2 linked regions of the Caenorhabditis elegans genome follow. The protein of the gene in region 1 interacts with the protein of each later gene in a pairwise test. Each region holds a gene or a part of one and is shown on either strand. Other genes may lie near its edges.

Region 1 (4,481 bases):
GACTTTCAAAAAAAGTGGCAACACTGAGTATTTACCACTTTTTTGAAACAAAACAAAATATTTTAAATAAAACTTAGTTTCACTGTGATATTCGGGCATTTTCGCAATTTGCTCCATTTATGACTGAACAGAGCTTTTAAACTATTATATTTTCCTTCTGTGTACTTGTGAAGATTTCTATCGAGATATCAAAAATGTCAAAAAAACATTTTTTTTCATCAAATCTGATTACCGGGAAAGTGTTATTTTCTGCATCACTTTAAAATCACTGTCTGTGAATTTGGATTGTACAAAACTAAATTTGACTTCTCGCACCAAATTAATTTCAAAATCTGAGCTTGAAATTCTCTGTTTGGTCTCAATTTTCAGATCTAATCTTAATAGTTTAAACGGTCGGCGTGGCGAAATAAAAAAAAACGCATCTGCTCGGGGGCGGCATCTCGAATACCATGACCACCGATTTGCACAGCTCCATTGCGTAACCAACACCCGACAAAAATAATCGACGTTTGACGGCAAAAAAGAGTCACATGACTACAAGTGATTTATTATGAAAACATAAAGGTGTTGACAATAATGACGAAAAAATAACAATTGGTGTTACAAGCACGGAATGGGAACAAGTAATAAAGCAAGGAACACAGATCTTTATAAGGTGTTGTGGAGGGAGAAGGATGACAAGCGGAAGAGGGGCATGTATTTATAGTTATAAAAGTTACCGCTAATCAATTTCTTGAAAAAAATATTGCAAGTTGCTACCCGTGAATAGAAATATTGTAAACTTGGTGTAGGTTAATTAGGTCGAAATAAGTTATAAATCAAAAATAGGTACACCGAACTACTAATAGGAGACACATGCTGAGTTAAGAAAACTTGAAGGCCATAAAAAGAAGGATTACTGTAGTTTTGTGAATAAGCTTTGTTGTTGGTTAATGTATAATTGTAAAAGTTCAGGTTGTGCGAAAACTTGAGGCATCGCTGGAATCGGCATCATTTGACGAGGGAGAAAGCCATTTGGAGCAGTCAGATACGGGTGACGAGGGAGGGCTGGCATTCCTGGACTGAAGTATGGGAAGAGGTTTGCAGCGGCTGCTCCGTACTGCTTGTAGGCGTCCATTCTAGCACGCGAGAGAGAGGAAGGGCGACGGCGCAGTTTTCCAGTTGCTCCACCAATGAATACCTCGTCCTCAGCAGTTGCATCGAGCATCCAATAGTTCCCTGAAAATGTATTGGATTAAAATATGAGTTAATTGGAAAACGATTTAGAGTATTACCTTTGCCTGGATCATCAAAGTTTCTTGGAACTTTGACAAAGCACTTGTTGAGGGAGAGGTTGTGGCGGATGGAGTTTTGCCATCCCTGCTTGTTGTCCCGGTAGAATGGGTAATTGGTGACGATGTATTCGTAAATTCCAGCCAATGTGAGACGTTTTTCTGGACTGTCTTTGATGGCCATCATGATCAATGCATTGTAGGAGAATGGTGGCTTGTCGTTCGGAGAGCTTGGAGTTTTCTCTTCTGAGTTGCTGGATGATGGTGACTTGGAATCCTGAATAAGTGGAATACTTCGAAATTGAACGTAGAGAGGGAATTTAATGATTAGTTACCTTGCTCAATGTGCTCTCTGATCGTTCGTCATCAATGCTCTCGTCATGAAGATAATCGGTGGACATGGTGTCAGTAGTGTCGATTGATGTGCTTGGGTCACTGATATCTGAAGATAAAACGATTACGGTAGGCATAAGAAGACCGGAGCATGTGGTGCAACAAAGAGATTATGAGTTTTGACGAGCTGAGGGTTTACAAATCCGCAACAACATGACAGCTGGTCGCCGCGTCTCTACTGACATTTTAGGTGAAGTGTAAACGCTTGGGGAGGTTCGGTTGGGGATTCAAGCGGAGGATTTGATACGAAAAACGAGAACGATGGCAAACATCAATCAACGACGACAACAAGTGCGGTTGGCTGAGGCAAACAGCGGGCGCTACCGTAAGCTTAAAGCACATATGCGCATGTTTAACAGATAATAATAAGAATAATAATAATAACAAGAGCCGCCGCGCTTTTGAATATGGTAATGGAATTGGTGTGAAGAAATGTACAGTACCCTAAAACGTATGCTTTTGATAGAATAAAGTTAGGAATTTAAGAAGAAGTAACTGGAATTTAGGATAGCACATATATTTAGAGCTCTATAATTATCCGAGATTTTGGAAAGCTATATTGTGAAGGCTTAATGTTTCTAAAGTTTGACTTAAAGAATAATCGTATTAATATGAATTTAAGTGTTAAAGTGGAGTTTTTCGATATGCAAGGATATTCTTTTGAAAACCAAAAACAAAATAGTTGTTCCTTGGCTCTAATCTCTAAATGCATACTTTTTCCTAGAAGGTTTGCAAACACGTACACACAAATGTAATAACAGCTTATACTAAGATCTATCTTAAAATTAAATAGAAAACGAACCAACCCGTGGATTCTTGCTTGATGCATGGTTGAGTTGAAATGTGAAGTTGTTCAATCTTGACCGCCTCTTCAACAAGGTCCGGGCACAGATCCAGAATCGAGAATCGAGCCATCAGAATTCGAGTCGTTTTCCTGAGATTTGGAAAGTTGGTATACTGATGCGATTTGGTATGGAAACAATGACACGACAAAGTGATGGGTCCAGTGTGGGTGGGACTAACCACTGCGATCACCCGGCTGGGCGTGGCCTGCACGGTAGAGAGTGTGCGGGGGGACCCAAGATGAAAGAGTGAACCGAATGGTCTCCCAACTACGTAGAAAAGGGTGCAAAAAGTATAGTAAAGCGGTGAAGACTAACGGGGATATCAAAAATGTTTGAGTATGAAGAAAAAACCAAAGAGGCGTTTCCAAGGATGATTATGGTGGAAGTGTTCTATTCTGCATGACTTTTAAATCACTGTCTGTCTGAACAGAAAATTCGAACGTCTAAAAAATGTGCATGATTTTGAAAGTGCAATTCATTAATATGATATTTGATAACTTAAGAACTTAATCTTACATAACTTGATAATTGAGGAATATGAAATTAGACCAAATTAACGAAGGAAGACAAAAAAGTTTTATAATCAAGTATTATGACCCGTCTTCTTCCTATATTTTTTTACAATGACTTCTGATGAATTAATTAGAATTGCTCTTATTTTCTTTATATGTAGACTATTACCAACTTAAGTTGAGTTTCAGTTCGTGCATGAATAAGTAAACTTAAAGAATTAAAGAAAAAGTAGCAACAATGGAGAAATCTACCACTCCTATGGTGTCTAAATGAAACAATATGAATTTTATTTTAAATTTGGAAAGTTTTATATTTTGTTTCCAAAAATCGTTACTCCGTTGTTGCCAAATTTACAACTATGGTTTGTAGTGAAATCTGAGGAAATATTGTTTATTAAAAAATAACAAAAACATTTGCGAGTGGAACTAGCTATTAAAAAAATGTAATTCAAATTCGAAGTTCAAAATAAAAGTAGTTGTAAGAAAAGTAACCTGTCACAACTATTTGAAATAACTAAAATTGAAAAAAGTTTATCTTCTGCGGTAAGCGGATGAGCAACTTTGCAACAAATCGTTTGATTGACACCATTCAGCTGCTCGTCATATTATTGAACTAAGTGACTCCTCAATACTCATTCTTCTAGTGTCTTGTAATCCGGAAGACATATTGAGACTATAATAGCAGGTGGTTTTTAAGAGAGGGATCAATATTGTGAATGCATGGTTTGAAAAGGGTAATTACAATACGATTGTTTTCATGCAGAGGTGAGACACGTATTAATAGAATGGTTGAACATTAGCTACGTAAAATTAAATACAATTTCTACTTTTGCTACATTTTTTATTGAAAATGTTTCGGAGATTCAATTGAGTAATTTACAGCTTTGGCTAACAAAAAATTGTTGAGAAAGTAAATGATTGAAATCTCATAAAATATTTCCAACTGATCAAGGACCAATCCGCTGAAAATATCTCAGACAGCTGGATAATCAGGCGAAAATATTTTTTTGACGAACGCGCTCACACATGAAAAATGAGATCAGGAGTCAATAATTTACATGAAACATTACCAAAAATGAAAAAAAAACAGAGTTTTAACATTTTAAAAGACTTGCAAGTCAAAGCTTTTTTTAAAGCGCCAGTGGTGATCTAAATGCACTTACAACGATTCAGAATGACTGAATATCATGATAAACATCCTTCAAAAAAGTTATACTATGAATTTTGGTTATTTAGGCACCAAAGGAGTAGTTTTAAACACTATCCCCACTGGCGGTACTCCACCTTAAAATGAATTCTGTCTAGAAAAACGGATAGAAGCTGATCATAAATTTGTCAATTCAAACATTTGGGGTGTGCCAAATGCCAAATACAATCTAGAAGTTGTGCGGGATTTTCAAACCAGACTAGAATATTGACGATGCGATGTTTGAAAAAGTTACAAACATCACAGTTTTATT
Region 2 (4,096 bases), on another chromosome or scaffold:
TCAAAGGCGCACCTCATTTTTAATTTAAAAAAATTTAACCGTATTTTTCAGTTATATATCGCAAAATTTCGCCGTTAAGAGTACTTTTAAATTGGAAAAAAGGCCGATCTAAAAATGTTTCAAGATATTGGGACAATTTAAAATGGTTTGAGTCATAGGTGGGCGACAAACGATTGCTTCCGGCAAATCGGCAAATCGGCAAATCGACAAATTGTCGGAATCGAAATTTCCGGCCTATCGGCAAATCAGCAAATTTCAGCATTTAAAACTTTCGACAAACCGGCAAATTGGCATATTGTGGTTTTGCACATTTTTTTTTTGGAAATTTCAGAATTTCAATTTTAATCGGCAACACATCTATTTTGAAAAGTATGCAAGTTCTATGAAAATATCTAGAAAAAACGGGAAAAAAATTTCAAAAAGGCACAGTTTTTTTTCTTATAAAAAATATCCTCCAAAAACTTCCGGCAAATTGATGTGCGGCAAATCGGCAAATCGGTAAATTGTCAAAAAATAAAAATTTTCGCCCACCCCTGAATAAACTTTATTTTCGGGAAAAAACTTTCAAAACTTGCAAAAAATCACTTTTAGTTTTTTTTTTAATACACAAAAAATTCAAAAAATCACTTCTAAGTCTTCATTACATGATTCACAATTTATTTCTACTCGTTTTCTCATTTTCAAACATGGCTTTACAAGCCTCAGCTACCAGGCCGGCTCTCGATTTGTTCTGAAAATGATTGTCCTGCGCGACGAAAACCGAAGCTCCACGTTGAGTCCCCGTAAAGGAATCAAGGATTTTCAGTCTCTCGGCTTCTGAGATCTCTTTGTCAATGTTCTGAAAATAATTGTATTGTATAATAAAGCTACTTTTCAAAAAAAAAACTTACAAAATGCTGCAATCCTTCATGCTTCTCGAGCGTCTCAAAAACAATTTCCTCCTCGACGAGGTGATCTTTTCCGGCGAAAACAATCAGTTTTTTGACCTAAAAATTGTGAAGATGAAGCTTCAAAATAATGAACTATCAATCTTACATTCATATCGTTTGTCTTTTCAATAAACTCAAGTTGTCCTCCCAACGAGACATTTATCATAGATCTCATCGAGTTGACGGCCTCCTCGCCAGTAGTGATTTTGAATCCAAAAGCTTTATATACTGAAATTCAGAAGGGTTTTAGTATGAGGTTTTCAAATTTTCAAAAAAAAAACTCACCGCCCAACATCATGGCATTTCCGAGGAATAATGGTAGCATTTTATAAATTGAATCCACAGTTGTCATTCTAGAAATCGGGTTGATTCCCTTATGAATCCTCAGACCAGTCGGATTGATGAGCACAATTCCGTGAGCATCTCGAGCCACAGCCGTCTGAAGAGCATTCTCACATCCACGACTGTGACCGATGTACGCCATTTTTCCATCGATGCCTAGCTCATCCAGCAGTGCATTCGAATAGTTTTGCCGTTCGATGTTGATATGTTTTTGGTCGGGGTACTCTACAAAATTTAATTATTTTAAAATAATTTTTTTGAATTAAAGAAAATCAACTCACCATTTGTAAACGTGAAGCCTGGATAATTGACTCCAATGAATCTAATTTTTAAGTCATCCAGCTTGCTCCGAATGTACTTGAAATCGTTGTGAGACCCAGGGGAGCCGTGGAAAGCAACTACAGTACCAAATGGTGAGCCGGAAGTAAGGGAGTCCTAAATATATAAAATTGGCTCTACTCGTTTCATAATTTAAAAAAATCATTCCATCAGAAAATTTGAACACAAAATTAATTTTTTTTTTAACTTTTAGCTGATAATTTTGCTTTTTGGCAAGTTTTCCAGTACTATCAAGAATACTAAATTTTGCAATAATACGGTATCTGGTCTCGACACGACAAATTTTTGGTAAATGCAAAATGTGCGCCTTTAAAAAGTACTGTAATTTCTAACTCGTGTTTCAGTTGAAGTTTCATTGCTTTTTTATAGTTTTTCGGCAGAAAAGTATACTTTTTTGTTCGAAAAACTTTAATAATACAATAAACAATATTTAAACTTCTGAACAAATTGTGAAGAAAACTATGAAAAATTGATGAAACTTAGCAGAAAAAAAGTTTGAAATTACAGTACTTTTTAAAGGCGCACACCTTTTTGAATTTAACAAAAACTTGTCGTGTCGAGACCGGGTACCCTATTGCAAAAATCCAAAAAAAAAAAACTAACCTCATAAACCGCATCCAGCTCCACTTTCTTCCCGCTTTCCGTCTCAAACTTTACCAATTTTCGGCACAAATTTGGTTCCGTCATTTTTTGAAAAACTTTTGATGGGCCAGCAGAGGCCGCCAGAAACACTTTCGACGTTATCATTACACTAAAACTATTTGGAAAAATAAATTTTAGTGGATTTTTTTCTACTAGGAAATGATGGGGACAATGCGAGAGTTCACGTATTTAAAGAGAGCGCAGAGAGAAGGTTGGGTGAACTGAAGAGATAGTGTAGGGGTTAGATGAGGCGCAGAGACGTAAGAAAAAAGCGTTCGGAGATAGATGGGTGTAGTGTTGGCCACATTGTCGTCTGTGTAGTTGATATCATTTGTAGCGGAAAATATGTCAAAATTGATAAGGATTTTAGTTGTCTAGACCCCGTCGGGAGTATAGGAAAAATTAATTTATGCTTGTAAAAGTCCAGTAAACGTTCGAAAAAATTATGCATCCAACATTTTCTTGCAGGACTCAGCGACCAGCTCTGCCTGTGATTTATTCTGAAAATGGGTGTCCTTCGCCACGAAAACTGATGCACCAAGTTGATTTCCCGTAAAACATTCCATAATTTTTGACTTTTCCTCTTCAGAAATTCCATCTTCAAATCTCTGAAAAATTTTAAGTTTATGGTAGAGATGCTAGAAGTTAACTCACAAAATGCTCCAAACCGTCATGTTTCTCCAATTTCTCTAGGACAATTTCTTCTTCTACCAAGTGGTCGTTTCCGCCGAAGACGATTAGTTTTTTGGTCTGAAAATTTTCAAAATTAGAAGGGCGTAGACGATAGGCTTTTTTGAAAACTTACATGCTTCTGATTCAACTTCTCAATGTACTCAATTTGATCTTCCAGCGACATCCTCATCACGGACCGCATTGCGCACATGGCCTCCTCTCCAGATTTCACTTTGAAGCCGATAGCTTTGTAGACTGAAATATTTTTAAAATTTGAAATGAACTAAATAAATATTTTTACTTACTTCCTAAAATCATCGAATTTCCCAAAAAACTTGGCAAAAGCCCATACATCCAGTCCAAATACTCCAGCCTATAAAATGGCCTAATGCCCTGATGATGTCTGAACCCGGTCGGATTTATGAGCACAAGACCGTGAGCTTCACGTCCGACGGCTGTTTGCAGAGCATTCTCGCATCCACGACTGTGTCCCATGTAGATAATTTTTCCGTCGATTTTCAGCTCATCTAGCAAAGCGTTGGAGAAGTTTTGGCGTTCCGGATTTGCGTGTTGTTGACCTTCATATTCAGGCGTATTTGAAAATCCCGGATAATTGACTCCAATAAATCGAATATTCAGATCATCCAGCTTGCTCCGAATGTACTTGAAATCGTTGTGAGACCCAGGGGAGCCGTGGAAAGCAACTACAGTACCGAACGGGGAGCCGGAAGTGATAGAGTCCTGAATTTGAAAAGTTAATATTAGGGGGGCAAATTTTTTAGTAGGCAAATTTGGCAAATTGGCAAAATACCGGTTTGCCGACTTGCCGGAGTTTTGATTTTCGGCAAATTGCTGATTTGTTGTTTGCCAAACCTCAACTTGCCAGAAGTTTTCAGAGGGATTTTTATAGGACTTAAAACTGTGCCTTTTTGAAAATTTTCCCCGTTTTCTTTGGATATTTTCATAGAATTTGCTTATTTTTCAAAATAGATGTAGAAGCATTCTTAGGATGCGTACAATTTTTGCCGATTAAATTTGAAATTCTGAGATTTCCAAAAAAAAATTGGCAATTTGCCGGTTTGCCGAAAATTTCAATTCCGGCAATTTACCGATTTGCCGGAAAAGGTCGTTTGCCGCCCGCCCTGGTTCAAATATCCAGAAAAAAAACTAGA

What was found. Proteins that work in one complex are often made in the same cells at the same time.
Region 2: the proteins of fkh-2 (region 1) and Y73C8B.3 interact in a two-hybrid assay, tested with the Caenorhabditis elegans proteins (one large-scale study listed by BioGRID).

Annotation. Positions count from the first base shown.
Region 1 is NC_003284.9:3,739,676-3,744,156, forward strand, and holds fkh-2 (Forkhead box protein fkh-2), read right to left. Parts: upstream 2,649-4,481; 5' UTR 2,580-2,648; coding exon 2,471-2,579; intron 2,067-2,470; exon of another isoform or gene 1,866-2,066; intron 1,716-1,865; exon of another isoform or gene 1,714-1,715; coding exon 1,607-1,713; intron 1,549-1,606; coding exon 1,275-1,548; intron 1,219-1,274; coding exon 896-1,218; 3' UTR 532-895; downstream 1-531. UniProt on the Caenorhabditis elegans protein: Transcription factor. Plays a role in embryogenesis and later development, perhaps acting redundantly with forkhead protein pes-1.
Region 2 is NC_003283.11:3,190,774-3,194,869, forward strand, and holds Y73C8B.3 (AB hydrolase-1 domain-containing protein), read right to left. Parts: upstream 2,465-4,096; 5' UTR 2,358-2,464; coding exon 2,214-2,357; intron 1,707-2,213; coding exon 1,553-1,706; intron 1,497-1,552; coding exon 1,215-1,496; intron 1,158-1,214; coding exon 1,036-1,157; intron 987-1,035; coding exon 891-986; intron 839-890; coding exon 650-838; 3' UTR 529-649; downstream 1-528. Other genes in the region: Y73C8B.2 (AB hydrolase-1 domain-containing protein), read right to left, coding at 2,696-2,860, 2,907-3,002, 3,058-3,179, 3,230-3,665; Y73C8B.9 (Transposase), read left to right, coding at 2,785-2,804, 3,103-3,178.